Linked DNA regions of Xenopus tropicalis. The protein of the gene in region 1 interacts with the protein of each later gene in a biochemical or structural test. Links are inferred from orthologs where the notes say so. Each region holds a gene or a part of one and is shown in the gene's direction. Other genes may lie near its edges. The genes, in order: lrrk1, abl1, pdcd4, foxp1, odf2, gpbp1l1 and cdc42ep3.

The links.
Region 2: the proteins of lrrk1 (region 1) and abl1 form a complex in vitro, tested with the Homo sapiens proteins (2 studies listed by BioGRID and IntAct, with this or other methods). The link is inferred for Xenopus tropicalis from reciprocal best matches to the Homo sapiens genes LRRK1 and ABL1.
Region 3: the proteins of lrrk1 (region 1) and pdcd4 form a complex in vitro, tested with the Homo sapiens proteins (2 studies listed by BioGRID and IntAct, with this or other methods). The link is inferred for Xenopus tropicalis from reciprocal best matches to the Homo sapiens genes LRRK1 and PDCD4.
Region 4: the proteins of lrrk1 (region 1) and foxp1 form a complex in vitro, tested with the Homo sapiens proteins (2 studies listed by BioGRID and IntAct, with this or other methods). The link is inferred for Xenopus tropicalis from reciprocal best matches to the Homo sapiens genes LRRK1 and FOXP1.
Region 5: the proteins of lrrk1 (region 1) and odf2 form a complex in vitro, tested with the Homo sapiens proteins (2 studies listed by BioGRID and IntAct, with this or other methods). The link is inferred for Xenopus tropicalis from reciprocal best matches to the Homo sapiens genes LRRK1 and ODF2.
Region 6: the proteins of lrrk1 (region 1) and gpbp1l1 form a complex in vitro, tested with the Homo sapiens proteins (2 studies listed by BioGRID and IntAct, with this or other methods). The link is inferred for Xenopus tropicalis from reciprocal best matches to the Homo sapiens genes LRRK1 and GPBP1L1.
Region 7: the proteins of lrrk1 (region 1) and cdc42ep3 form a complex in vitro, tested with the Homo sapiens proteins (2 studies listed by BioGRID and IntAct, with this or other methods). The link is inferred for Xenopus tropicalis from reciprocal best matches to the Homo sapiens genes LRRK1 and CDC42EP3.

What each region holds. Positions count from the first base shown.
Region 1 is NC_030679.2:115,739,197-115,743,192, forward strand, and holds part of lrrk1 (leucine-rich repeat serine/threonine-protein kinase 1), read left to right. Parts: intron 1-1,000; coding exon 1,001-1,165; intron 1,166-2,153; coding exon 2,154-2,326; intron 2,327-2,409; coding exon 2,410-2,530; intron 2,531-2,743; coding exon 2,744-2,903; intron 2,904-3,362; coding exon 3,363-3,639; intron 3,640-3,996.
Region 2 is NC_030684.2:12,823,657-12,828,160, reverse strand, and holds the start of abl1 (tyrosine-protein kinase ABL1), read left to right. Parts: upstream 1-1,309; 5' UTR 1,310-1,710; coding exon 1,711-1,870; intron 1,871-4,504. UniProt on the Homo sapiens protein: Non-receptor tyrosine-protein kinase that plays a role in many key processes linked to cell growth and survival such as cytoskeleton remodeling in response to extracellular stimuli, cell motility and adhesion, receptor endocytosis, autophagy, DNA damage response and apoptosis.
Region 3 is NC_030683.2:2,639,520-2,643,515, reverse strand, and holds part of pdcd4 (programmed cell death protein 4), read left to right. Parts: intron 1-2,453; coding exon 2,454-2,571; intron 2,572-2,665; coding exon 2,666-2,773; intron 2,774-3,996. UniProt on the Homo sapiens protein: Inhibits translation initiation and cap-dependent translation. May excert its function by hindering the interaction between EIF4A1 and EIF4G. Inhibits the helicase activity of EIF4A. Modulates the activation of JUN kinase.
Region 4 is NC_030680.2:140,892,195-140,896,190, forward strand, and holds part of foxp1 (forkhead box protein P1), read left to right. Parts: intron 1-1,759; coding exon 1,760-1,846; intron 1,847-2,635; coding exon 2,636-2,837; intron 2,838-2,933; coding exon 2,934-3,046; intron 3,047-3,996. UniProt on the Homo sapiens protein: Transcriptional repressor. Can act with CTBP1 to synergistically repress transcription but CTPBP1 is not essential. Plays an important role in the specification and differentiation of lung epithelium.
Region 5 is NC_030684.2:22,723,820-22,727,815, reverse strand, and holds part of odf2 (outer dense fiber protein 2), read left to right. Parts: intron 1-1,276; 5' UTR 1,277-1,322; coding exon 1,323-1,427; intron 1,428-1,534; coding exon 1,535-1,660; intron 1,661-1,957; coding exon 1,958-2,128; intron 2,129-2,224; coding exon 2,225-2,412; intron 2,413-2,841; coding exon 2,842-2,971; intron 2,972-3,048; coding exon 3,049-3,180; intron 3,181-3,303; coding exon 3,304-3,378; intron 3,379-3,996. UniProt on the Homo sapiens protein: Seems to be a major component of sperm tail outer dense fibers (ODF).
Region 6 is NC_030680.2:90,222,661-90,227,283, forward strand, and holds the start of gpbp1l1 (vasculin-like protein 1), read left to right. Parts: upstream 1-1,585; 5' UTR 1,586-1,644; intron 1,645-4,623. UniProt on the Homo sapiens protein: Possible transcription factor.
Region 7 is NC_030681.2:42,298,311-42,303,102, forward strand, and holds the start of cdc42ep3 (cdc42 effector protein 3), read left to right. Parts: upstream 1-1,611; 5' UTR 1,612-2,035; intron 2,036-4,792.

The sequences.
Region 1 (3,996 bases):
GCTGCTGCTGCTGTCTGACATTTCCTGCTGCACACATGTTTTTTATCTGCAATTACCCCAAGATCCTTCTCCATTAAGGATTTACCTAACTTAAGGTCCCCATACACGGGCCGATTCTAGCTGCTGATATCGGTCCCTTAGACTGATCGGCCCGTGTATGGGGACTACCGATGGGCCTGCCCAACCAATATCTGGCCTGAAATCGGCCAGATCTCGATTGAGCAGGTTAGAATATCTGGCCTGAAATCGGCCAGATCTCGATCGGGCAAGGTTAGAAAATCTAGTCGAATCAGGGACTGCATCAGCTTGTTGATGCGGTCCCCGGACCGACTTTGCCTGTGCCCGTCATTATAATTTGATCGTTTGGCCCCAGGGCCAAATGATCGAATTAGCCTGGATTCTCCTGATATCGCCCACTCGTAGATGGGGGGTATCGGGAGAAGATCCGGTCACTTGGCGACATCACCAAGCCAGCGGATCTTAAGGTGTATGGGCACCTTTAGTCCCAGTAAGGTTATAGATAGCCTGTACACCACTTAGGAAAAAAGGAACCAATATATATATATAAATTTTTTAATGCACCCACACTTTCAACCTGTGGCAAATATTTTTTTGCAGTTGATTTAGATATTGATGATGTTTCTGTATGTATCTGATTAGCATTAAAGAAATGTCAAATTTATTTTCTACCACAAGATGGATATTATAACAAGGCTTGCAGCTATACATATGGACCCCTTTAATTTATATGTAATGCCTTCTAACATATTTTTAAAGCATTGCCAAATCACCTTACAAGCCTCTCTTCTTAGTAGTTTGGTGTGTGTGTGGGGGGAAACAATAGGAAGATTTAAAAGGAAGGTTGGATTGGCTTTGACTATGTTATGGAATTAGTCAATTAACCACTCTTACTGTGTTTCATTCTATTATTACAAAGGTCTGTACTGAGTAACCTGCCTTCACACAGAGCCCTTCGTGTCTCTCCCTTTTGCTTAAGTAGGTTGATTCTGTGCAGTTCCATGTGTGGGACGTTGGAGGTTCGAATGCAATGTCCGCTGTGAACCAGTGCTTCTTCACTGACAAAGCCTTGTATGTGGTAGTCTGGAACCTTGCTCTTGGCGAGGAGGCTGTTGCCAATCTTCAGTTCTGGCTACTGAACATAGAGGTAAGAGGTAACTATCTGCATGTGTCAAAGAAGATCAATACTGGCAAGGTATCTGTTATGTGTAATTCTTGGGATCTACAGTTTTCCGGATAAGGGGCCTTTTCTTAATTAGGAAAACACTCCTTAATCCTACTGAAAACATTTAAAAAAAAATAGTATTATTTTGCCACCACCGTGGATTAATGTTCCAATATTTATCATCAAGTAATTATAACAGAGAAAAAGGAAACCTGTCAAAGAAAAATTGTTTGCTTAAACATTCCTGTATTTTAGAAGTTTCTGAACAATGAGTTTACAGATAATAAATCCTATACTTGTATTGTATATTTGACTACATAAAAGATTATTAATTTATTTATACCATATTGCCCATGTCTAGGCAACTCATTCGGGCCTATTAAAGTGTTGACACACAGCTGCAATTTTGTAGGCATGATATTTAGGAGGAAAGTGGAATTTCCAATTCTATAATGAGATCAGATCTTGTCTCTGGGTTAGAGTGTTAAAGCTTAAAGGAGAAGGAAAAACAGCCCCCAGTGATTGTAATTGCTTACCCCGCGCTGGTGCTCCAGCCCAGGGTAGCTGTGAGACAGCGATCTTCTTCTGTCCGTCTTCATTCTTCCGCTTCCTGGCGCATGTGCAGTAGGATTAAAATGCTGACTTTTTTGTTAAAGTTCTGCTTTTCACTCTACTGCGCATACACAAGTGACGCAAAGACAGGAGAAGAAGAGGATCAATGTCTTGTTGCTACCCCGGGCTATTGCGGTTTTTTGCTAACAGGAGCACCAGCCAAGGGATAAGGTAAGCAATTACAATCTCTGGGGGGTGCTAAAATGTTAGCTTAATACTGATAATGGTATAGAGCTGTAAAGAAAAGTAAAAAGTTACCATGCAGCCAATCTTACTAATGCCACCTCATCTATTTTATCTGTTACTGGATTTTTTGACGTAGCCAGATTGTTTGATAAAGCTGATATCTGTTTTCCAGGCAAAAGCTCCCAATGCCGTTGTTCTGGTTGTAGGGACGCACCTTGACTTCATAGAAACCAAATTCCGGTTGGAGAGAATTGCCACTCTTCGAGCTTATGTTCTGGCATTGTGTCGCTCCCCATCTGGCTCCAGAGCAACTGGGTTCCCTGATATCACTTTCAAGCACTTACAGTGAGCACATTTTAACTTAAGGGTGTTTAATGTTATGTTACAATTTTTATGTAATTTTCTTTCCTCTGGCTTTCACTATTCAGTGAACTCTCTTGCAAAACATTGGAGGGACTCGATGGTCTGCGCCAGCTGATATTCCATGCTGCCTGCAATATGAGGGATGTAGGCAGTACCATTGGATCCCAAAAACTAGTGGGAAGGCTGGTACGTTTTATGCTCTACAAACAATATTTCAGATTAATTGAGTCAAAAAAATATTATTGGCTCAAAATACTCCATGGGATATCTCTCAAGCATGGCCAGTCTTAACACCAGAATCAGTTCTTTGCAGTGGCCGCAAAATTTATATAATTACCTTTTGGTGATGGGGTCATATCCTCTATCCAAAATCTCTGTCTTTTCTGGTTATGCAAATAGATCCCGAGAAGCTACCTGAACCTTCAGGAGGCTGTGGTAGCTGAGCAGCAGAGACGAGCTCAAGGGGATGAGGTACAATACCTGACTGATGAGCAGATAGAACAGATTATTGAACAGAGCCCTGGAAACGATATACGCGATTATGAAGACATGCAGGCAGGTATGTGACCCAAATTGAATGAGTGAGAATCAGTATGTGCATTGGAACATTTTTAATTAGGGCATTATCTGTGCTAGCTTGTGTATTTATATTGCATTATTTACATTCTACAATGCAGGTTATTAATTATTATTGCTTTTGGGCAAAGGCACGGGATGGCATCCACCTAGTACCTAGCATCTTCATATGTGGGGTATTTCTTTTCCTATATATCAGCTATATATTAGGATAATTTGGGGCAAAGGTTTCTGATATATGTGGTTTTTCCTGCCCTTAGCTACTATACAGCTTTCATTCTTTTAGTGGCTTTAGGCAGAGCTGTTTACGACAGACGCTAAAAAAAAAAAAAAAAAGAATGGGGCCTCACTGTTTTGCTGTGATTCTCACTACCACTAAAGGCAGCCCTGCCTGTGGGAGGGGCAATATCATTAATTTCCTTTTCTTCTCTGTATCCTGCAGCGATCGGTTTCTTGATAGAAACTGGGACTTTGCTTCACTTTCCTGACACTAGCCATGGCCTAAGAAACCTTTACTTCTTGGACCCTGTTTGGTTGTCAGAATGTTTGGAGAGGATTATTAACATTAAGAGCTCCAAGTCTGTGGCCCGGAATGGGGTGATTAAGGCAGAAGATCTCAGAATGCTGCTGGTTGGAACTGGATTCACCAAACAGACTGAAGAGCAATATTTTCAGTTCCTGGCAAAGTTTGAGATTGCTCTTCCTGTTGCCAATAACAGGTGGGAATATACAGAATTTATTCAATTTAACTATAAGTGGATATGCTCCGCTTTCTGTATATAGTATGTCCATACTTTTGCTATAGATACACCTAATATCAAGGAGCATGTTGTACCTGTAGCAGTATAACAGAGACTGAAACTTGAATATGATTTATATTCTAAAACTGTGATACAATTCCTGAAGCTAAGTTAAAAAGGTTTTAAAGAAACAGTAAGGGATTCGTTTATAAACAGCATTTCATTCTGTTTGTTGTATTTGCATTTTTAAATATTTTCCAGATTAATTTGTGTGTTTGAGTTGTGCGTTTCATGCTGCAAATAAATGGTTAAATTGCCCTTTGTCCAATTTATACA
Region 2 (4,504 bases), on another chromosome or scaffold:
CAGGCCGCTCTGCTCTCCCCATACACGGGCCGATTAGCTGCCGAATCGGTCCAAGGGACCGATATCGGCAGCTATAGTCGGCCCGTGTATGGCCACCTTTAGCTCATGTAATGGCTACAGACACAGGAAAATATCAGTTTATCAACCATTCTAAATTAGTTACAATAGAGATATATCACACCCAAATCTAACCCCTAGTGACCTTCAGGCTGGGCTTTTGAATGACCATCCCTGCCGTAACTGATCAAGGTAACCCACCTCCTACTGCTCCTGTGCCTAGAAGAATGCATTGGCTGGCATATAGATTATTTCGGATTTGGCTGGAGAATGTTCCTGAAACTCATAAGTTCCATAGTTCATTAATATATGAATGAGAATTCCTCATTGTTCTGCTGTAAACTGTGTGTGTAAGCTTTCTTCTGCTTGAGATTCCATTATCTCACCTCTCTAATAGGGAAGGTAGTACAGCATATATACCCGCCACAAGGAAAGATGGTTACTCAGGCCTTGCTGAGCAGATTAGGACTTTGCAGTCCAAATCCTGGTTGGGTAGCCTGCTCTAGTGAGCAAGTATTCTTGCTCTCCCACCTCCAATGGTAATGCTATTTAGTTGCCCTTAACTGGTTGATCTGCCTCCGGATTCATGTCACTTTCGGCCCACGGTGACATCACTTCCGGTTTTCCTGGGTTACAGGGTTGGAAGGTAATTTAACTCATTGTGGATAGGTTTGGGTTGCAGGTCTGGGAAGGGGGTATAGCAGGGTGGGGGGGGTACAGACCCATGCAGGTATCTACCTGGCTTAGTCCTAGATCTGCTGAAGACCAGGATGGGTTTTAGGAGGATACTAAATGTATTGCAGAACCAGATATATCTATAATGCTGCCAGCCAGGGCACTACAGGAGGCAGGCGTTTTTTATCATTAAAAACTTGGAACGATCTGGATCTATTAGCAATATTATCTCTCAAGGGCCACCATACAAAATGCATGGAAATCACCTTATTAGTAATCATTATTCCAGTTCAGCCCAAATATCCCCTTATCGTTTTCTGTGTGCAAATAGCTATTGTACTCAGTGCTGTGCACAGTATCCCCCTGTATATCTTATGCAGAGATGGGGGGAGTCTGAGGTCCCCATAACCAGAGCCATCAATCAGAGCTGAATTACAAGTCTCCCCACTAACTTTCAGCCTGGGATATTGGGAGAGAGTTCGTCAGGCTGGAGGGCTGAGCATCCAGGACAGGGTTAACAATGCTCTGTGCATATGTAGGCGTTGCCAGACCTCGGATGTCATCACTAGAGGCAGCCAGAGCATGAAGGGGGCCCTTTGTTGGCAGTCTAACGTAAGCAGCTCTCCCTGCCTAACACAGCCTGCCTAATGGACTGAGAGAATGAGCAGCGGAGGAGTCCCACCGTTCTGCAAGAACTTAGCCTGAAGAGTACCCAAGTTACACTTTTCTGCCTCCGGGACCCCCCCTCCTATAAAAATGGGTGAGATTGACCCCCAGGGGTCGGTGGCGTGAATCCCTGCCACCCAAAGCATCAGAGAGCCTCTCCGAGCCGGGGGCCTTGGGCTTCTTTGCTTCTCTTTGGCTTTTGCTGCTTTCCAGTTCCATAAAGGAGGGGAGTGAACCACAGCCCAAGTGCGTCAAACAGACTTGGAATCGACCAGGGCCAAGTGGCCTGACCCGAGCTGGTCTTCTCCTCGCATGCTGGAGGGTGGGGAAGGGAAGAAAAAGTGCAGGAGGCAGCAGAAGGGAGCGGGCGCATCCTGCATGCAACACATGAAAATGTTGGAAATCTGCTTGAAGTTGGTGGGTTGCAAATCCAAGAAAGGGCTCTCCTCGTCCTCCAGCTGCTATCTCGAAGGTGAGATAAGGGGGTGTCAGTGGGGAAAAGGGGTTGGGCGGAGGCAGAAAGGAGGGGGTTCCACTGGCCCAGGATTTGGCCGCAGCCAGCTGGAGTGCTCCAATCTCTAATCCCCTTCTCCTAGGCCTCAGCACAGATTAGATGAAGGCTGCTTCCCCCCTCGCTCCAGGCAAGGATTACATAAACATTCAGGCTTGCCTGGCGCTGGCTAGCTGGGACGGCCTAGCAACAAAGGGGTTAATTAACCCCGTGCAGCTTGTGTCACTACCACTCCCAGCATCCTCAGCTGGCCCAAAGTTCAAAAAACAACCACTCGACCCGATGTTGGGCGTTTTCTGGCCAAAAAAAAATACATTTTTATAGCATTTCCCACATCCTGTCATGCGTTTGCTTAGGAATGGCTGATCATGGGGTTCCTGGAGATGGGGGGTCGATAGGTAGTGCCCCTCGAGGATTGCTGTCATCTGGGGCTGGCACTCCACCTGTGGGAACTAAGTCCCACTGCCAACTTGCCCGCCTTCCCCTCGGCCCCCGCTCCACCGCAAGTTTATTTTTCACTTCTTCTGGTGTCCTCAGGCTGCAGTTTTACTGTTCCACTTGCGTCACGGAAGGAAGAATCCATTCTATAACCCACTCTCTCCCATGGGGGGCAACAGATGGAGTAGCCAAAGGCCTGGAAACCTTCTGTTATACCCACAAAGCCATCGGGTTCTGTTTGTTTATACGTGCGAGTGGCAGCAGCCATATTGTTTGCCTTGTCCAAGGCCACGGTTTCTTGAACTTTTTCTCAGGGGGCCCAAGTTACCATATACAGCTTAGGACCCAATTGAGGGTCCTCACCCATGCATTTACTGTCTCGGGCCTTTGCTCCCTATGGAAAGTGCCCCAGCCTAGGCAAGCAGTGTGGCAGCACCCACTCACGCATCTTAACAAACCTGGGCCCAGTTTGGCCACCCACACATAGGGCCAAATTGGACTGATCCAATCATTGGCCTGGGGGCCTACAGGCCCATCAGATGAGGACCACATTCACACACCAATTTTCTCCTAGGATGGAAACATTAACCCTGCCCAATCGATATCCTGTCCATTCTTGGTCAGATATCATGCAGGCAGACCCCTTGGTGGGGGGCCCCATACACAGGCCAATACATTGCTGACTTTGGCCAAATTGGTCAATTTGGCCAACTTAAATTGATGGTTCACCTTTGCATTAACTTTAAGTATGTTATAGAATGTCCTATTCCTAGCAGCTTTGCAGTTGGTCTTCATTGCTTATATTTTTTTTATAGTTAAATCGATTGCTCTGCGAGGCTGCAATTTATTGTTAATATTACTTTTTATTACTTATCTTTCTATTCAGCCCCTCTACTATTTATATTTCAGTGTCAAATTTAAAACCAGTGCCTGGTTGCTACGGTAAGCAAGACCCTAGCAACCAGATAGCTGCTGAATTACCAAACTGGGAGAGCATCTGAACACAAAGCAAAAAAAATGAAAACCAATTGCAAATTGTCTCAATTACTTCTTGCAGAGCATAATGAGCGAATACAGTTACCGATAGCTTTGTAACCAGTGACCGCGAGGGATGAATTGATATTGAGAAGTTGGTTTGAATTGGATTTTCTGTCATTAGGCAACTTTTTATATTTGGGTTTATATCCCCTTTAAATATGGCAAAGTGCAAGTGGCGCTACCAGTTGCTTTCCCGCACACCCAAGCCCCGCCTCCCCGCAGCCCCAAGCCCCGCCTCCCAGCAACGCTTGACAGAAAGTTTTCTGTTTACTCTCCCTCCGGCGCTTATTGCAAAACATCACTATTTGTCCAATTTCTCCCTTTTTTTTTTGTCTGTGCGAGCGCTTATTATCGGCAGCGGAACCAAATCGCCGTGGCGGGGTCGGCTGCGCATAAACAGGAATATTGTGTTAATCATTTTCATTAACTCGGACGTGATTTCCTTCATTGAAATTATTGGCTTCACTCGAGAGATTTGGCTATTATGTAGGCTCGTTCCATTATTGGCAGAAAGGGGGGGGGGGAGAGAGAGCCTGCTGTTCTCATTAACTATTTCAGCACCCGGGGAGACGGAAATAGTGATTATGGGAATGCCATAGGAATTATTATTAGAGGAGCAGAGAAAGCCATCGCAAAAGGGAGGCCAGAGGTCATTTCACCTGCGCCGCTGAACTGGCGGCTTCATCTGGAAATTATTCTTCTTGTTCCCCCCCAGGCACTCAGAAAGGCAATTATCCTGACCTCCTTCAGTTCTAGAGATAAAGGGACAGGCTGTGTGCATTATAAAGTACTGCCTGGTACTGCCCCGGGGCCCTGGGCTGTCACAAATAGGCAACAGTAGTGCCTGGTACTGCCCCCGTGCCCTGGGCTGTCACAAATAGGCCACAGTAGTGACTGGTACTGCCCCGGGGCCCTGGGCTGTCACAAATAGGCAACAGTAGTGCCTGGTACTGCCCCCGTGCCCTGGGCTGTCACAAATAGGCCACAGTAGTGCCTGGTACTGCCCCGGGGCCCTGGGCTGTCACAAATAGGCCACAGTAGTGCCTGGTACTGCCCCGGGGCCCTGGGCTGTCACAAATAGGCCACAGTAGTGCCTGGTACTGCCCCTTGGCCCTGGGC
Region 3 (3,996 bases), on another chromosome or scaffold:
CCTCCTTCCCTCTGCCAGGAAACTGAAAATGGGTGGTGGATGGGTGTTCCAGCACGACAATGACCCAAAACATACAGCAAAGGCAACAAAGGAGTGGCTCAAGAAGAAGCACATTAAGGTCATGGAGTGGCCTAGTCAGTCTCCGGACCTTAATCCAATAGAAAACCTATGGAGGGAGCTCAAGCTCAGAGTTGCACAGAGACAGAAACCTTAGGGATTTAGAGATGATCTGCAAAGAGGAGTGGGACCAACATTCCTCCTAAAATGGGCGCAAACTTGCTCATCAATTACAAGAAACGTTTGGCCTCTGTGCTTGCAAACAAGGGCTTTTCCACTAAGTATTAAGTCTTTTTTTGTTAGAGGGTTCAAAAACTTATTTCACTCAATGAAATGCAAATCAGTTGCTATGTTTTATTTAAAGTTATTTTTTCCATTTTCCTTTTGATGTGCTATCTGCCACTGTTAAACCTACCATTGAAATGATACTGTTCTGAGACTTTTCATTTCTTTGTCATTGGACAAACTTACAAAATCAGTGAGGGGTCAAATCATTATTTCCTCCACTGTATGTATGTATGTATAACTTTATTTATAAAGCGCTACTTATGTACGCAGCGCTGTACAGTAGAATACATTAATATAAACGGGTATTAAAATAGATAAATACAAAGTATTACAATAAGCACAAATAAATGCTGTATCAGCGTGATCGGATGGACACCCTACAACGGTGACCCCCTTGCTGTTATTTCACTCTTGGGCTGTCAGAACCATAAGGAGTGAAGTAGACTGTAGTTCCTCTTCTTCATCTTCCTCATTGGCAGATACTGTGCGTTGCCAGATTAGACTTACAAATATGGCAGATAGATAGGTATCAGTTGGAATACTGGATACCATAACCAAAAACTGTATGTTATGTGCCCGGTCAGCAGAAGGAGCAAATATTCCCATGAATGTTTCTGGGAGAGAGATGGCTGAGGCTTATGCTAGGTCACATAAAAGAGTGGATAATTGGCTTCTGTTGCTAGTTTTACTTACCAAAACCTTATGTTGAAGAACAAGACCCAGAGAAAAGGTAGTTTAGCCAAAAAAAGGCTTCTTTTAATATAAGTCAAAATTACAGAGTCTTACTAGAAGCGTTTAGCCACACAGATTAACAAGTGTCACAAAAGGATTCAGAATGGTTTTAGTAGTCATACCCTTTTATAACCAACTTGTTTAGCATTCACAAGTACCACCTTATTTGTGAGAATCTCATAGGTTATTTCTAACCCACCCCATGAATCCTATAGGTCTAAAGCTAGCCCACCCCATGAATCCTATAGGTATAAAGCTATCCCACACAATGAGTACTATAGGTGTAAAGCTAGCCCACCCCATAAATCCTATAGGTCTAAAGCTAGCCCACCCCATGAATCCTATAATCCTATAGGTCTAAAGCTAGCTCACCCCATGAATCCTATAGGTCTAAAGCTAGCCCACCCCATGAATCCTATAATCCTATAGGTCTAAAGCTAGCCCAGCCAATGAGTACTATAGGTGTAAAGCTAGCCCACCCCATGAATCCTATAGGTCTAAAGCTAGCCCACCCCATGAATCCTATAGGTCTAAAGCTAGCCCACCCCATGAATCCTATAGGTCTAAAGCTAGCCCAGCCAATGAGTACTATAGGTCTAAAGCTAGCCCAGCCAATGAGTACTATAGGTATAAAGCTAGCCCACCCCATGAATCCTAAAGGTCTAAAGCTAGCCCCCCCATGAATCCTATAGGTCTAAAGCTAGCCCAGCCAATGAGTACTATAGGTGTAAAGCTAAACCCAGCCAATGAGTACTATAGGTGTAAAGCTAGCCCACCCCATGAATCCTATAGGTCTAAAGCTAGCCCACCCAAAAGACATTCTGCATGGACAGCATTTATACCATGAGCTGCTCGCTACTAGAACTGCAGGGCAGAGATGAGAGTAATTAAGAAAATTCATCTCTTGTTCTGTACGCCTTTTTGTGTGTATATATCATGCATGCAACACTATATTATTTAATATATTCGTGTATTAAGTGTCCCAATATATCTCACTTACCTTTAGGTTGTCTTTTTTTACACCTGTGGGGGTCTAAAGCCAGTCTGGACTGATAGCAGAGGGTCTGCTCTAAGATACCATAAACAGTTACCACTTATTATACTGGTGTAGGCCCTTTGGGGCATTGTATACTGATAATACCAAGGCCTAATTTAAAGCTCAGTCCAGACCTGGACTTTGGTCCCTTTTAGAACATACCTGTCATCAGTAAGTGTCTCCATCACTTCCATAGTGTAGGCCCGCTAAGGGCCCGAGACCCTCTTGTTTGCCCCTTTTGTTATGTCTCACTGGTGTCTTCCCCACCTTTGAACCCCATATGCATTTGCTTCTATTTATTGTTGCAATAGATAATCTATATTCCATGTTCTTATTCTAGTGCGGCGCTAGATCGGGCAGCAGTGTTACTGCGTATAACAAAGGGAGGGAGAAGAAGAATAGACAGCGTTTGGGGGACTGGCGGAGGGCAACTGCCAGTTAATAAGCTGGTTAAAGAGGTAAAGTGTTCATTAATGTGAAACTGGAGCTAAAATACATTTCTGTGTGACAGTTTTATAACGTAGCTCTTCCCCCCCCCCCCCCGTGTGACAGATTGACTTGCTGCTGAAAGAGTTTGTGCTCTCTGGGGATGTTGTGGAAGCGGAGCGGTGCCTACAGGAGCTCGAAGTCCCTCACTTTCACCATGAACTCGTTTATGAAGTAAGGACTCTCTTTTTATCCTTTTATCATTAGAGAGGTTGGGCACTGATGTTGGGGATCAGTCTCAGTCGGGGTTCCACAGGGGGTCAGTTGGGTTGCCCCTCCCCTTGCTGCTATAACTGCCCCTGCCCTTCTGGGAAGGTTCCCACTAGATGGTGGAACAGTGTTGCTGGGAGTTGCTCCCATTCAGCCACAAGGGCATTAGTGAGGTTGGGCAGTGATGTTGGGGGTCAGGCTCACAGTCGGGGTTCCATCCCACAGGGGGTCAGTTGGGTTGCCCCTCCCCTTGCTGCTATAACTGCCCCTGCCCTTCTGGGAAGGTTCCCACTAGATGGTGGAACAGTGTTGCTGGGAGTTGCTCCCATTCAGCCACAAGGGCATTAGTGAGGTTGGGCAGTGATGTTGGGGATCAGGCTCACAGTCGGGGTTCCATCCCACAGGGGGTCAGTTGGGCCCCCCCTCCCCTTGCTGCTATAACTGCCCCTGCCCTTCTGGGAAGGTTCCCACTAGATGGTGGAACAGTGTTGCTGGGAGTTGCTCCCATTCAGCCACAAGGGCATTAGTGAGGTTGGGCAGTGATGTTGGGGATCAGGCTCACAGTCGGGGTTCAATCCCACAGGGGGTCAGTTGGGTTGGGGTCAGGGCTCAGTCAGGTTCTTCCCATCTCAGCAAACCCATTCTGTATGGATCTGGCTCTGTGCATGGGGGGGATTATTGTGCTTAAACGGTAAAGGCCCCCCAAACTGTCCCACAAAGTAGGGAGCAGGGAATTACCAGGAATGTCATTGTACCCTGTAGCCTTAAGGTTTCACCAGTACCTGGGGCCCAAACCATGGTAACAGCCCCAGCCCGTTATTCCTCCTCCTCCACTTAATGTTACCATTGACATTATCCATTCAGGCAGGTTAGGTTCTCCTGGTATCAGCCCAACCCAGACTATTCCATCTGATTCCAGAGAGCACATTCCCATTGCTGCCAAGTCCAATAGTGGTGATGTGGCATTGCACAGCCTGGCATAGTTCTTGTGCCACTTTGAACTGCACAGTGAGTGTTCCAGCCGCCCCATGCAAACACAAATAAATGGACAATATTCACTTATTTCCACAACAACGCTACTTTAGGTAGTAGAGGCTTTTTGCATGACCCCTTTTATATGAAATGTTGTTAAATTCAGTGGGTGCTACACTTGACATTGCCAGTTGTACCTATACAGGTAATAACAC
Region 4 (3,996 bases), on another chromosome or scaffold:
TAGCCACAAAAGTTACTAGCGGTTGTATTGACCCGGGTGTATATACCCCAGACCCATCACCGAGTGCATCTAACTCCAACTTCCAATAAGTAATCACACAGTAAGGCATAACTCACCGCCCGTCTGTATGTGGTCCGGGTGCTCTAGAGCCCTGAACCCGTAGCCTGAGGGAACCAATCAAATCCTTCGAAAAACGGCTTGCAAAAGCACACCGGACAGCCAGGAAATATCGTAAAACTTTAGTCTTTATTCATATTCTTAAAATACACCTGACGCGTTTTGTGCATGCGCACTTAATCATAGGCCCCTTACTTTGACCAGATTTCTATACATGACTTATAATCACCCTACTGATCTAAGTTTACTTTTTTCTTTTTTAAATAGAACCAATCCTCCCCTTCTAGCTTTAATTGCTACTTCATTGTATCTCACCCTTCTATCAACCCTTAGGAAGTGATAGTCAATGGTATATGCTACCCTGTCCAATATGCCCAGTTGCGTCCGTGCTATTTGCAAATATTTTTTAGAGTCAAAAGAGTCAATGTACTTGCCCTTTATGTGTAAGAAGTAAAAGAAAACCACCTTTTAGCACTTCTGTACTTTTTTTTTTTTTTGCGTACCTAAACCCGAACATCTGTGTCCCATTTAACAGGAGAAAAGAAAACACCGACAATTATTTAATAGACTATTAAAATACAGCGTGACTTGTATCTGTACTATTGGGTTATCGTGAAATCACAACAGTGACTGGGCCGGTAACGTGAGCGGAGGAAACCCGCGAGGTCACCGTGTATGAAAAGAACCGCAATTCCGATTTCTCTCTTTATAACACGTTTGCTGGGTATTTTTTTTTCCCCCCCTCCCTTTCGTTTATACAAACCAGTCTGTGTTAGAATTCCAACAAGGTTGTGAACCCCCAACTATGGATATTTCTGTAGAAAAAGAGAAGCTTCATTTCCCCGTTGGAGCGGTCGTGTTTCTTGTCCTCCGTGGAACTAATGTTTCAATCACGTTCTGATAAGGTCCCGTTTTTTTTTTTCCAAATCAATTAATGAAATACTGGAATTTATATGATTAATACCATATACCTTTCTGTAACATGACCTAATATTTTGGCTCAGGCTTGCACGGTTCCAAAGTCAGGCTGGCAAATTATATTTAATGGCAAATAATACGGTTATGCGCTTTTTTTTTTTGTAGCAGAATTTCTCCACGTATAACTAATTTATTGTAAAAAGAAATAAAAACCCGTGACACGGTAATAAGGCTGAATGATTGCAGTGTTTAACGGCGCTGTATAAAGTGTTTGATTTATAGATTCTGGATATTTTTCCAAAAAAAAAAAAAAGTAGCCTGGGACGGGGGGGGGAAAAAAATGAAATGAACATTGTTGAATTAATAACGGTGTTCTGCTTAATGTAAGAACGGAGCGCGAGCTCCTAGGCGCCTATGGTGGGTTTGCATTCCGCTGGAGTTGGGGGTTAGAGTGAGCGGACGTTGCGTTGAGGCGACACACGGGGGTTGACATCGTATTTAATCAACAAATAAGAACGTTTATTTAATTGGTTAGATCCTTCGTATGGGTAGAGTTTACAAAGTGGCAGGTTGTTTAAATATCCCCCAAAGCCGGTCAGGCTTTAAACTTGCCAGCCGCCATGATTTATTGGTGAGTAGGGCTGAAAGTTCACTATACCCTCTGTGTGAGTGTGAGCGGTAATGTTTAAGCGCACAGAACGTTCAAACACACGTTTTCTTCCAGCAGTTGTACACTACATGTAGTAGGGAGAATGGATGGATCTATAGTAGCCAACAGCTGGAGGAAGGATTCACTGGCATACTTAAAGGGGTACTATCATTATTATTATTATCCTTTATTGATATAGGGCTGATATATATACATAAAATTCACTCTAGTCCCTTCCCCTAGTGGAGCTTATAGTCCAAGGTCCCCATCACAATTGCACAATCTAGGGCCAGTTTTATTAGGTGCCACTTAACCATCCGGTATTTTCACTTTTTAAAAATATATTTCACTTATTTGTGAGCCGTGCATGCTATAGTGATGTACAAATGGGTGATAGGATCTGTGACTTCTGTGACAGAATGCCAGATAGCTAGAATCTCAGCCATAAAGCAGGGCAGGACTGCTGCTTACAATGGGGGGATCAGATAGGATCTGTGACTTCTGTGACAGAATGCCAGATAGCTAGAATCTCAGCCATAAAGCAGGGCAGGACTGCTGCTTACAATGGGGGGATCAGATAGGATCTGTGCCACTGTGACAGAATGCTCTGTTATACAGATAGCTAGAATCTCAGCCATAAAGCAGGGCAGGACTGCGGCTTACAATGGGGGGATCTATGACTTCTGTGACAGAATGCTCTGTTATACAGATAGCTAGAATCTTGGCCATTAAGCATTGTCTAACTGCCGCTTAATGAGAGGGAGGAAAGAGGCACAGCTATATTGGTTCTCTACCCAAGTTTATATAAATTCATTTTTTCCCAACACTTCTTGACTTTGCTAAGCGTTACACTTGTTTCCAGGCTGTATTTTTGCTGATTATATCCCTGTAGAATAGGCAAGTTAGTGTCAATGGACTAAGCCCTGTTCTTATGTGGTGTTTTCTCCCCAGCTGAACCTAGTATCGAGTGCCACCCTTTCAAAGACAGTGTCAGAAGCGTCCCCACAAAGCTTACCTCATACTCCCACCACCCCAACCGCGCCACTCACTCCCATCACCCAAGGACCTTCTGTCATCACTACCACCAGCATCCACAACGTGGGGCCCATCCGGCGGCGGTACTCTGACAAATACAACGTGCCCATCTCTTCCGGTGAGTTGGTCTTTTCCCCCCCCCGAATGCTTCGAGAGAGATGAAGAAACTGTCTCTGTTTCAGTTGCTATATGACAATATTGTCCTTGCATTCAGATTGGATGATCTCTGTTGACTTTCTGTCGTTGCCAGACATTGCACAGAACCAAGAGTTTTACAAAAATGCTGAAGTCAGACCACCCTTCACGTACGCATCTTTAATTAGGCAGGTAAGTGAGCAAACCTTTCCTTCTGGCGCTATTATAAGGCTAATGTCACTTCTGGTGGTGAGAATCTTCCCTTCCGCACCCTTAGGGGGCATGTTGTAAGGGTATATGGGTATAATGATTATCACATTATTATCACCCAAGAGATATCCACGTACAATGGGTAATAGTTGCTTTGGGGATTGGGCAGAGTAAAACATTGGGGCAGTTCATTGTGCATGGGCTGATTAGGACGTCCTCCCTCCGTTTATATAAGTAATTATAAAAGTAATGAAACTATAATGTACTACAGGTATGGGACCTATTATCCAGAATGCTCGGGACCTGGGGTTTTCGGATTAGGGGTCTATTTGTAATTTGGATCTCCAAATCTGCTAAAACAATAGGGCTGTTCTGCCCCAATAAGGGGTAATTATATCTTAGTTGGGATCAAGTACAGGTACTGTTTTATTATTACAGAGAAAAGGGAATTATTTAACCATGAAATAAACCCAATAGGGCTGTTCTGCCCCCAATAAGGGGTAATTATATCTTAGTTGGGATCAAGTACAGGTACTGTTTTATTATTACAGAGAAAAGGGAATCATTTAACCATGAAATAAACCCAATAGGGCTGTTCTGCCCCCAATAAGGGGTAATTATATCTTAGTTGGGATCAAGTACAGGTACTGTTTTATTATTACAGAGAAAAGGGAATCATTTAACCATTAAATAAACCCAATAGGGCTGTTCTGCCCCAATAAGGGGTAATTATATCTTAGTTGGGATCAAGTACAGGTACTGTTTTATTATTACAGAGAAAAGGGAATCATTTAACCATTAAATAAACCCAATAGGGCTGTTCTGCCCCAATAAGGGGTAATTATATCTTAGTTGGGATCAAGTACAGGTACTGTTTTATTATTACAGAGAAAAGGGAATCATTTAACCATTAAATAAACCCAATAGGGCTG
Region 5 (3,996 bases), on another chromosome or scaffold:
ATTGTAGTCCCTAGATCCAGTTGCTTTCACATACAAGACCTGTATCTGTCAGGTTTTTTTTCTTCTGTATAATGTGCATTGGCAAAAATATAGATTAATTTTTACAGAATAAATCACTGATTTTTAAGAAAAATGTAATAGTTTTATAGCATTTGGTATGAATTTGAGTGTAGAATAACTAACAAAATTGTAGTTCATCCTTTTACCGAGTTTTGTGTTTCATTTTTGGTTAAGTGACTTATGGTAGTTTCAAAATTCTAAGAGAGGAAGACAGGTTTTTATGTTTTTTGTCATATATCTGTGCCTTAGGCACCAAAGCTCATATAGCTTTGTGGAACAGAGATTCACAAAAAAGGAAAATATAACTAAATACAGAGCCATCTGTATGACATTCCAATTAATCACGTCACTGAGCAAGGGACTGACATTTCAGCCATTTTCAGGATTAGGAATTCCCATATTGACTGTCTCTTCCTTAAGAAGATAGTTTTACATAGTACAGGTATAGGACCTGTTATCCAGAATGCTCAGGACCTTGGGTATTCCGGTAATTTGGATAGTCATACCTCAAGTCTGCTAATAAATCATTTAAACATTAATTAAACCCAATAGTATTGTATTGTTTTACAGATTGTATTGTTTAAAGATTTAATTTAATGATATTTTAGTTGGGATCAAAGTACAAGGTACTGTTTTATTATTACATAGAAAATATTTTTAAAAATTCAAATGATTTTATTAAAATGGAGTGTATGGGTGATGGCCTTCATGTAATTGGGAGCTTTTTGGATAAAGGAGATCTGGATAAATCGAGATCTTTTCCTAATGATCAATTTATTATTTTGTAATTTCTTCATATTCCATGCTGCGAGGCTGCCAGGAAGTAAAGAAAAACGAGACATAGGAGTAACACAAACACTGGGGTGGGGTGGGAGGGGATAGAGAATTGGAAGAATTCAAGCAACAAAAGTATCAGCTTAATACAAAAGACAGGCATATGACAAGCATTGTCTGGAACAGGCAGAAAAAAAGTCAATACACCAGAGATCAGAGATAGCCCACCTAGGAACTCACAAGGATTACGTTCAATTGGACGCCCATTTTATAGTTTTTTTTTTTATAGTAAAATGGCACCAAAAGATGTTGTCCTATCTGTGATGATGCCATAATGCAGTGCAAGAACATGACAAAGCCACTGCACCTAGAAGTGACATTTCGAGCAACACTGATGGAGCAAAGTCATGCATCAATTTGTGTTTTTTGCTATGTGTTGTAGATCTGCCACCGGTTACTGCTGATAGTGCTCCCTCCAGAAGAGGGCAATGAAAAACCGCTCTCCATCTCCACCGCTGCATGTTCATGTCGATGAAAGCACGCCAGTCCATGTCCATATTAAAAAGGCTTCCAGACCCCCTGCAAAGACACAGGTGGGGATATTACTCACCAAATACTGATCTAGACGCATCATAACGTTAGAAATCATCTTAATAATGAACTTCAGCAACTTAAAATGTTTTGCCTGTCTTTTGCACAGCACATAGCTAAGCTAAAAAAGAAAGGAGGGATGGGAAATCTCCGGCGGAGTGCAACTGTGAAGACCAAAGTTCCATGGATCCCACCCGGGAAGTCCTCTTTGCGAGATGCAAGTTTAAAGTGGGAGGTATATTGCCTTTTACTTATAATTGATACATATGCTAACTCTGCAGCCTGTTTTTAGTACTGAAGGGGTTTGGGAAGTTACAGAATTATCTGGGGCACTGCCCTGCTCTTAATGGCCACTGAAGAGACAGTTGCTGCTTCCTGTAGTGCAAGTAAAGGAGATATCAGTAAAATTAATGTTCAGTCAGTGATTGCAAAGTTACCTAGATTATGTCTCTCTTTATTAAACATACCAAAAATTTATATTGAGCCTAAATTCCCCTATAAAATGGCGGCTGCTTATGCCTTCCACCTGCAGGGCTTAACCCATCGCTTAGAGATCACACCTCCAGATACAGAAAAAATGTTTTCAGCTTTAAGACTGAGTGACCTGTCCACAGATGAAGAAGAAATGAAGCTCAGCAAGATGAACTCTTATGAGGAAAAAATTGCCACTTTGATGAGTGAAATGGGAACGCTGAAACATGAGGTGAGGGTAATGGGTGGGCTGCAGGCCTGCTTTTGGGGTAATCAGAGTATACATTGAAAAAAGACCAATGTCCCTGCCAACATTGTCTGCTATTAGTTAGAGCTACAGAAAAGGGAAAAATATCTGGGGAGATGTGAAGAACAACTTGCTGCATCCAAGCGGTTACTGGAGGCCCAGCAGGAGGAACTGGCTGAGGTGTCCCAGGAACTTGCAGAGACAGAAAATGAGAATGTCCGGCTAAAAAGAAACCTTGATCGAATCCAGGAAGAGAAGGGATTAAGTATGTAAGTATTTGCAGTAATCCTAGGACAGAAGCTCTCCTTTCTAAGTCTAATGTCCAGCCAGCCTACTCTGGTTTAACTCCACAGAACCGATTGGTTCTTATTGGTAGGCGCTGCTTTGGCAAGTCCAGGGAGAGACTAACTTGCAAGGCTTGGGATAGCAAAACCTTCTTTCTACAAATTTTGTAAATCACGTTCCATAAATACTAGAGGAAGTACTTTTTTGAATGTGGTGCACAGGTGCATGTGCTACCTGAAAACATTCCCACTATCATGGTTAGGGTAATAAAATGCAGAGTTCCCCTTGGGCAGACTGTTTAATTATACAGTCAATTCTGAACTAAATACTGGTTTCTTTTAATTCCGTGATCTTGATAAATCTCTATTCTTTCAGGTTTTATCTTAATAATGGGTTCTCTTGTGATATTTTAGAATTCAAAAGCAGCAGCTGCAGGAAGAGAAATCTCATCTTCTGGCTAAGTTATTAGAAGCTGAAACTGATGGGACAGAGGCAGCGAGACAAGTGGCCTTGCTGAGTGACACCATTCAGAGACTAAAGCATGTACGTAGCCCGCACAGACATTTGTACTCTTTCTTCAATAGAAAAAGCCTCTTCCTAACCCCCCCTATTGTCTGCAGGAAAAGAGGATGACAAGTACAGATGTTAACCTCCTCACCAGGCAGAAGGAATTACTGCTACAAAAACTAAATACCTTTGAGGACACCAACAGGAGCCTGCGAGTGCTACTGAGAGAGCAGCACCGTCAAGAGGTAGGCGCTGTATACAGCTTGGGAGTGAGTAAGGCAGTAAAATTGGTTAACGTTGTGCATGCCATAGGCCTTTTCTATCATGGTTGCAGTAACGACTGTGAATTTTTTTTCTGTTCCTCTCAGACAGAGACATACCGACTGATGGAGCAAAAGGAAATGCTTTTGAAGAAACTGTCTGACTCTGACACAGAGAAAATGGTAGGTCTGAAAAGTGGTACACAAGCGAGATAGGATTCAGTGAGAACTATGTCTATGTGCCTGGCATCCCACCCAGCAGAGAAGTACAGATTAGGGAATGTTACAGTAGAATTTCCTGCCATACAAGATTAGGGATCAATGTAAGCTCTTAGAAGCAACCTCTTTGCAACTGGAATCTGAACTGGGAGTTATTTATTTTAGCACTGACAAGTTGGCTTTTCTAACTTCCTTGAAGGGATGCCATCAACAGTTGAGTGCAGAGATAATTAGGTTTATACTAAGGGGTAGCCACCTAAACCTTGAAATCACTTCTAGTTCCCAAGGACTTAAATGCATGCATGAGCTGTTGGTATATATATATTCTTATCCATATAGATCTTACTGTACATCAGTGATCCCCAACCAGTGGCTCGCAAGCAACATGTTGCTCACCAACCCCTTCAATGTTGCTCCCATTGGCCTCAAAGCAGGTGCCCATTTTTTAATTTCTGGCTTGAAGGCACATTTTGGAGGCATAAAATAATGTGTACTGCCATATAGAGCCTCCTGTAGTCTGCCAGTCCACATTGGGCTACCAAAAAAAAAGCCCCTTTTTGGTACCCCCTAGGAAATGTTCAT
Region 6 (4,623 bases), on another chromosome or scaffold:
ATAATTAAAAATGAAATAAACTTACACAGCAATAGATTTTGGCTTTGTTGGCAGCAGCCCTCTTGAAAGCTGGAAAGTTTAAAAAAAAAAAAAAAAAAAGCAATATACAAACTATAAAAAATGAAAAACAATTGAGAAGTTGCTATGTATAGGGTATTCTGTAACACACTAAAAGTTTAAAGCTTAATAACTACTACCCCATTGCCATAAGGACAATTTTTAAGGTCATTTTTGCCTTAAAACTGCAGTATTTTTAATTCCTTATCTTTGATAAATTGTAAAATCTGCAACATCTGTATAGTAAGGTTACAAAAATGCAGTAGTGCATAAAGGAAAATGTACCAGCACATGAAAGACATAAACAGTAGACGCCCTCAAATCATACACCACTTTGCTCACCATTGTTATGTGCTATTTTCATGTAAAACATTTTTATATACATTTTTCCTAATGCTCATAACTTCAATTACTGTGACTTCTTTGTGTGTGTGCTTATTTGTTGAAATTGTGGATGTTACAAACCAAGCACATGTATTTATGATAATATTTGAATATGCTTGTTTGTTTATTAAACTGCATGTTTATTTATAAAAACTGTATTTTCTACAGCCATAGGTCAATAACTCAGAAGGACTGCTTTTCTTTCATTAGTGCTAAGTATATTTGCTCATAGCAACCATTCATATTTTTTTTCTTTTAATTTGTAGAAAACCAGTTTATTTGGTTGCTATGCATGGCAGGACTATTGCACTATAGCATTTACATTTTGTAAGTAAACCCCCGAAGAATAAAAAGAATTGTAAATAAAGTTGAGTTTTTTGTTTTTTTTTTCTTTGCAGTTACTGCTTCCCAACTGAGGTGCCATGTTGAAAGAGGGCTGCTGACGTTTTCTTCCCCAGCACTGCAGGAATTCATATTCTGGAAGTGTATTTATCATCTGTCCTCCTCTGTGATTTACACTCAGTATTTTGGACTTCGCACTACATTACTGATGTTGAATTTAAGACAAGAAGATTTTTTTAAGTCCTGCTGTTTTTTGCTTCAAAAAGTGTTTATAGTGACCGCAGCAAAATATTGTTAGCTGCCTAGTATACAAAATAGGTGTAGTCAAGATTTTAGATTCTCTTTGCTCTTTTTTGTCATCTCTTTGTAGTCTTTTGCCTGATTAATGAAGGCACCAAATGGCAGCATTGTAGGTTTGGCAAGACAAGCCTGGGCTTCTAGTGGACTGTTGTTTGAAGGCCCTGGTTATATATATAACTAAGAAAAACTAAATGGGCAAACTGGTATGACCCACAACCATTCCACATTAATTGAAACAGAAGACTCTTTAATGAGTTGAACATCATACTTAGGATTTTTTTCTGCTCTTGCATTGACTCCTTATTTTATCCCATGTGAACAGTCTGTTTCACACTTATTTTTTCCCCCTGTGTTGCTGAAACAATCTGAAAGGATGAGCACTTAAAAAAATAAAAAGTTTGAAAATAGAAGCTGGCATGTAGTAATAGGGTATTAACCCTACCAGCCTTTTGGAGGGGCCCTTTATACCCCCTCTAGCCAAGGAATAAGAAACATATCTGGGAACTATTGCCTTTAAATAACAAAACTGGAAGGATTGGCCTGCAGTTCTCAAGGTGAGGGGTAAGTAACTGTTTTTATTATATACTTAATAATTGCTACATTGCTCATATGTGGTCCAAGTAAGAGCAACTGCTAAAGCACTGCATATAGTGGCACCCCGCAGAACAGCAGCTGCATGTAAAATGTAGTGGAATACTAAGGGGCCGATTCATTAAAACACAAGTTCGAATCCCGAATGGGAAAAATTCGGATTGGATACGATAATTTCTGAAGATCGCAAATATCAAGAAAATGCTTACGAACAAAATCGTAATAGTCACGATAATATCGTATTGGCGATCCGAAAGTCATTAAATTTTCGTACCGAACGATTGTAAACAGCAGTATAACCTTTCTGAATTTTTAGCGCGGGTGTACAGAAAAGTTGCCCAAGCGCGAAAAAAACGGCAAAAATACGATCAGAGCGTTCGAATGAACGCTCCGAGCTTTCGTGTCTTAATAAATCTCCCCCTAAGTATCAAACCACTGTTTTGCATCTTAACCATGCAGACTGTAGAACTGGGAAGAAAAGCTTTTTTGAAAGGATTTTGGTTGCTGAACATAGTATATTATAGTAAGGTAAGATGGTGACTATAAAGGTGGCCCTACACAGGCTTATAAAGGATGCCAACTCAGCCTCTAAACTAAGTGGGGTAGATATCTTACAGGTATTATCCTTGTGGGCCCCATGGCTCACAATTCAATTCAGCCTGATTTCACCCAGTATGTGGGTAGCCAACTTGGGCAGAGATATAAAAACTATATGGAACTTTAGGCTGGTTTTCCCTATGCTGTGGTCCTTGAGCTTTTTTTTTTTTTTGTGCTAATGTCAGCAGCCAAAAACAGCCTTTGGTTAAAAGGCTGTTGGTTAAACCACTTAAAGGAAAACTATACCCCCCCAAACAATGTAGGTCTATGTAAAAATATTTTTACAGAAAATATTGCATAAACAAACTCATATGTAAAACCCTGTTTCATCTACATTTTTATAAAAATATACTTTTTAGTAGTATGTGCTGTTGGGTAATCCTAAATAGAAAATTGCCATTTTAAGAATTAAAGGACAAGGAAAGTCAAAATCTATTAAGCACACTATTCAATAGTACTACTCATATGTAAAACCCTGTTTCATCTACATTTTTATAAAAATATACTTTTTAGTTGTATGTGCTGTTGGGTAATCCTAAATAGAAAATTGCCATTTTAAGAATTAAAGGACAAGGAAAGTCAAAATCTATTAAGCACACTATTCAATAGTACTACTATTGCTTTGTAAAAATGCTATATTTCTGGCTTGCCTAATGAAAGATTTACAGAGATACACCTACTACATACTCGTTTCAGTGAATGGCGCCGCCATCTTTAATAAGGGATTCCCACTTCCTTTCCCTCACCGTCTCTACTGCGCATGCATCCCCAACATCCTCCTGCATCCCCTCTGCGGCTCCCCCAGAACCCCACTGCTGCGTACTCGTACTCGTTTCAGTGAATGGCGCCGCCATCTTTAATAAGGGATGCCCACTTCCTTTCCCTCACCGTCTCTACTGCGCATGCATCCCCAACATCCTCCTGCATCCTCTCTGTGGCTCCCCCAGCACCCCCCTGCTGTGTCCTTCTGTGTGTGGCTGCATTCTCTTGTTATGGCCCCGGCTCGCCCCTGCATCCACTTTTTATATAGCGCGTCACCATAGCAACCGGACGCTTGCTATTGGTTCATGCTCGTAGTGGGAGTGACAGAGGGTCCGTGGGAAGGGAAGCGATCCTGCTTGTGCTTGCTCACAGAAGATCTAAATGCTTACTAAAGAGCTGGTCTTAGTCTCGGTGCAGGAGCGATGCATTATGGGAATCTTCTCTACCCAGCTCAGCGTTTTTTCTTCCTGTTTGGCTTCTGATCATCTAACCGGTTGAAATATGGGGAGGCTTAAGGGCACTATTGAGACAACTGAAGGTATGCCTGCAGCTTGAGATTAACTCTTTATTAGCATTTCCTTCTCCTTTAAAGGCCACCTCCTGGTATCATAGGATTCACAGTGCACACAAACAAGCCAAGGCACACATACATGCTAGGTTATCAGCCAATGAATGGACAGAGTTCTGTTTTCTGCTTCCACAGCCCAACCAATCAGCAGAACAATGGGAAGGGAGCAAGATAGCAGCTCCCATTAGATATCAGAATAGCACTCAATAGAAAGAAATCAAAGTCTGGCTTGCGACTCCCCCAGTTATTTCCTTTTTCTTTGTAATTATAAAACAGTACCTTGATCATAACTAAGATATAATTAATCTTTATTTGAGGCAAAACAATCCTGTTAGGTTTATTCAATATTTAAATGATTTTCAGCAGTCTTAAGGTATGGAGATCCTAATTACGGAAAGATCCCTTATCCAGGAAACTCCAGGTCGCTAGCATTCTGGATAACAGGTCCCATACATGTACTACACGTTTTTATTTTTGTCTTTTGTTGGTAGTATTAAGATGCAGTCATTTGTACTCTGTACAACTAGCCATGTAACCTACAGCTACTCACTGTCTCCTTAAAGGAGAAAGAAAGGCTTATAAAGAGTTAATCTCAAGATACAGGCATACCTTCAGTAGTGCGCATATGTCTCCCCATATTTCTCCTGGTCAGATGATCAAAAGGCTGAGCTCTGTAAAGAAAATTCCCATAATGCCAGCTGCTGCACCAAGACCCCTGTACATGCCCAGTTTGTAAGACTATGAGGAAGTTTCCTGCTGATTGGCTCAGATCACACATTCCTAAGGGGGGAGGGAGTACTTAGCATTCTTGAGGAAGGAGGGAGCAGTAGAGAGGAGAGAGCTGTGCAGACTCTGGCACTGGAATTACAGAGACAAGAAATCCTGTTTCTTTTGATAAAGGACAGTGCAGCGTTTCTGTGAGTGCTTATGGCTGTATTTACATAGACCTTTCTGATAAAGCTTACTTAGTTTTTACCTTTCTTTCTTTTTCTTTAAACTCTGTGGGTCTGCCCACATGCTGG
Region 7 (4,792 bases), on another chromosome or scaffold:
TAGCAGGCTGCTGAGCAGTAAGGTTGCCATACTGGATGATTACCACACAGACAGTAGAGTAGCAGGCTGCTGAGCAGTGAGGTTGCCATACTGGATGATTACCACACAGACAGTAGAGAGTAGCAGGCTGCTGAGCAGTGAGGTTGCCATGCTGGATGATTACCACACAGACAGTTGAGAGTAGCAGGCTGCTGAGCAGTGAGGTTGCCATACTGGATGATTACCACACAGACAGTAGAGAGTAGCAGGCTGCTGAGCAGTGAGGTTGCCATACTGGATGATTACCACACAGACAGTAGAGAGTAGCAGGCTGCTGAGCAGTGAGGTTGCCATGCTGGATGATTACCACACAGACAGTAGAGAGTAGCAGGCTGCTGAGCAGTGAGGTTGCCATGCTGGATGATTACCACACAGACAGTAGAGAGTAGCAGGCTGCTGAGCAGTGAGGTTGCCATACTGTATGATTACCAGACACACAGTAGAGAGTAGCAGGCTGCTGAGCAGTGAGGTTGCCATACTGGATGATTACCAGACACACAGTAGAGAGTAGCAGGCTGCTGAGCAGTGAGGTTGCCATACTGGATGATTACCAAACAGACAGTAGAGAGTAGCAGGCTGCCGAGCAGTGAGGTTGCCATACTGGATGATTACCACACAGACAGTAGCCAGTAGCAGGCTGCTGAGCAGTGAGGTTGCCATACAGGATGATAACCACACAGACAGTAGAGAGTAGCAGGCTGCTGGGCAGTGAGGTTGCCATACTGGATGATTACCACACAGACAGTAGAGTAGCAGGCTGCTGAGCAGTGAGGTTGCCATACTGGATGATTACCACACACACAGTAGAGAGTAGCAGGCTGCTGGGCAGTGAGGTTGCCATACTGTATGATTACCACACAGACAGTAGAGAGTAGCAGGCTGCTGAGCAGTGAGGTTGCCATGCTGGATGATTACCACACAGACAGTAGCCAGTAGCAGGCTGCTGAGCAGTGAGGTTGCCATACTGGATGATTACCACACAGACAGTAGAGTAGCAGGCTGCTGAGCAGTGAGGTTGCCATACTGGATGATTACCACACAGACAGTTGAGAGTAGCAGGCTGCTGGGCAGTGAGGTTGCCATACTGGATGATTACCACACAGACAGTAGAGTAGCAGGCTGCTGAGCAGTGAGGTTGCCATACTGGATGATTACCACACACACAGTAGAGAGTAGCAGGCTGCTGGGCAGTGAGGTTGCCATACTGTATGATTACCACACAGACAGTAGAGAGTAGCAGGCTGCTGGGCAGTGAGGTTGCCATACTGTATGATTACCACACAGACAGTAGAGAGTAGCAGGCTGCTGGGCAGTGAGGTTGCCATACTGAATGATTACCACACAGACAGTAGAGAGTAGCAGGCTGCTGAGCAGTGAGGTTGCCATGCTGGATGATTACCACACACACAGTAGAGAGTAGCAGGCTGCTGAGCAGTGAGGTTGCCATGCTGGATGATTACCAGAGAATGTAGCCACTAGCTGCTATGGCCCCGCCCCTATCCCACAGCCGAGCCACTGACTAAAGCAGCCAGAGCCGGGAGAGCTTCATTAGCTGCTTTTCCACTGCAGCAGCGAGCGATTCATTCACAACCGGCATCTAATTCAGATTCCTTCCACTCCGACTGCCTGCGCTGCCACCCTTTTGCCTTAAACAGCCCCCATAGTGCCGAATACAGAGAACTTTGCAGGGTGAATGGGCAAATGCGGACCCTGCTTTCTTTTCTGACAGACCAAGGAGGCATCTGGTAGCCGGGTCTGGGCGACTGAAGGACTGGCACAGGTGTAAATGGTGCCGCGTCTCGGCTGGTGTAGAAGGGAGGTGTCTGGGAGCAGCTGCCCTTGTTCTGCTCCTTTTAACGCTGGGGTCTCTTTAATCGCTGCCAGACAGAAGGAAGCTGCCGGCAAACTGAGCGATCCATCCCCACATTGTATTGGGAGAATCGGGATCGGGGAAGCGATCTGAGCTGAGAGAGAAGCATTTCCCTGGCACAGAGCGGTAAGTCAGTAGGCTTGGTCGCTGGCATCGTTCATATACCCCCTATTGAATACCAATCAATCTCATATTGGAATTATGTAGAATGATGATATCTGTAATATAGGGCTCTGCACAGTCACACTGCTTCTCTGGGCTGCCCTAATCATACAGCAATGGAACCATAGTACCGAAAAAAATAATTAAACCCCCTGGGAATCCGGTGTTCCATTAAGAGAATGGGTGCTGGATTTATTGCCCTCCTAGATTTCTGGGGAAAACAGTATTTACCTCATATATGGCTGCATTTGAGACATATATGCCTAAAATGAATAAAATATACACTATATAAATGTAAATGTAAAATGAATAAAATATACACTATAGGTATCTATCATCTCAAGCTCCTATAGGTTGTAAAGGGTTAAGTCTGTGGTACTCAGGAGTCAGACCTGCACTTTAACTGTGATGGTTCTTTGTGACCTGGGGCAAGTCACTTAATCTCTGTATGTCTCAGCCCACCCCCCTCCTTAAAAATAGATAAATACATCAGATTGTAACCTATTAGTGACTGGGATCTACTGAACAGTTCTGCATTAACTTAAATATGGCATCTAAACTGTGTATAAATGAAGGGTAATAAATAATAATACATGGGATTTAAGGCACCTATAGGTCTGCCAGACAAGGGTTAAGACAAGGGTGGGCTAGGGGTCTGTGCCTGCATGACCCTGAAGATGTGGCTGATATGTTAAAGCATTCATGTATTGCATATGTGCCCCCTGTTTGAGTAGAGAGTCAGGACAGAAATAGCACGTTGTTGGCAGAATGTCAGCTAATCTGTGCTACTGGCCAGTTCACTTATGAGCACAATTATATTTTGTCATCAGTGAAATCTAATTACTAGGATTTTGAATGAAACCAATAGCTGAACAGGATTTAATGAAATATAACATAAAAAAAAAGATAGAGTGGTGCAAGGTCAGAAGAGTGAAGGACAGCAGGTCTTTGATTCGTGAGTAATGCATGTAATGCCACTGTTGCCCAACCTTATGTTGCTGTTAAAGTACAACTCCCAGCACTGTCCAACAGCCCGACATGGAAATTGTAGTTAAGACCATAGGTTAGACTCTTGCCATGGGCCCCACCACTAAAGGCAGCGCTGATGGAGATGTCCTTATTATCCATGCACTTAGTACTTTATTCTAACCATATGGACAGAGGCCAAGCATGTCATGTTTGAGATGCTAGCAGAGGAATGTGTACAGATATGCATGCTCCTCATTCCAGCCCAGCGACTCGTCTGTTTCTCTAATAACTACATGGGTGTCTGATTGCAGCTCAGCATAAAAGCCTTTGTTTAATGAATGTGGGTGTGTGTTGCTCTATTATATTTCCACTGAACAAACAATATTTCTCCTGCTTGTGTGAAAATTAATTACACATCTTTAATTGCTGTGGAAGACATTCATTAATAACGTGCATAGCGAATCAACCCTGTGGATGCTTACATTATGGTTTTATAGTGCAGAATTAATGCGCTTAATTATTTCTTCATTGTAGGCACAGAGATATAGGTGTGCCCTGATTGCGGTGATATGAATATTATTCACCAGTTCAACCCAATACAGGGAGGACAGTGGCTGCTATTTCAGAAATGTCTCCTAGCAGGGCAATTTGCCTGTGCCTGCCCATTATTAGAATACTTTGTGTTTTATGGACTGAGAATTAGGGACGAGTCATTAGTGAGACATGTTGATTATATTATGTGTAACCACCTTAGGGTGAAAGACATGGATTTGTGACTACTGTTTCCTACGGGGGACAACTGGATTCTCCTAAAGTATTGCACAGCTGCTCAGTTATCATCAGAAAACATAGCTGTCTATGGAGGTAATATGGATGTCCTACTTCAGCAGAAATGTCAGAATGTATCAACCCCCCATATTAGACAACTGACGCAACATTTTTTGTGCTACAAAATGCCACCCCTTCCAGTGCCCCCCTAACTAATACCTAAGAGCCAAAAGCAATTTCATTGCTGCTCTGCAGGCCTCAAGGGAGGGTGGGGGATGAGTGGGACTTGCGAACAGTCACTTTTTGCAGTTTTCTGCTATACTAACCTGATTGGCCAGTTACTTGATGATCAGTTAGCCAATTAGGTTGTTGACTGACATGGATTTTGCAGCTGCATGATTTTAACCCTTACAGCTTGGGCAGGTCTGAAAGCATGACTGGCACACTAATTGCATAATACTTGGCAGAACTGCTTCAGCCAATTCCAGATGTGTATAGAAGGAACCAATAGGCAACAAGTCCATATATATATATATATATATATATATGCCAATCCATGGAAAAGTAGTGACATCAAAATGCTCACATATCTCCTTGTGTGCCCTTAGACTTAGAAGGAAGTGTATGGAGAGATGGTAGGAAGTGAGTATATATTTTATTGCACGTAGCAGGATATGTCTGTGTGCATGCTCAGGATTCTGCAGGAAGAATAGGAATTCTTACAGCTGTGTGTGTATTGGTACATTGTGGGGCCTTGGTGATGTATTAGTGTAATTCATTTTTGTAATGTATATGAATTTTTGGTGACTGACCATTTTTTTACTCTAATAAAAACAAATTTCTAGGCTACAGAATAAGGCCTCAATTAGTCAACCATCAGATAGAAAAAAAGTTGCTGGGCTGTCAGAGGCTCAAGTGCTCACACTCAATTCCCTCCTGCCAACATGTCACAGTACAAGTGGCACTTCCAAGCTGTGTGGTTGG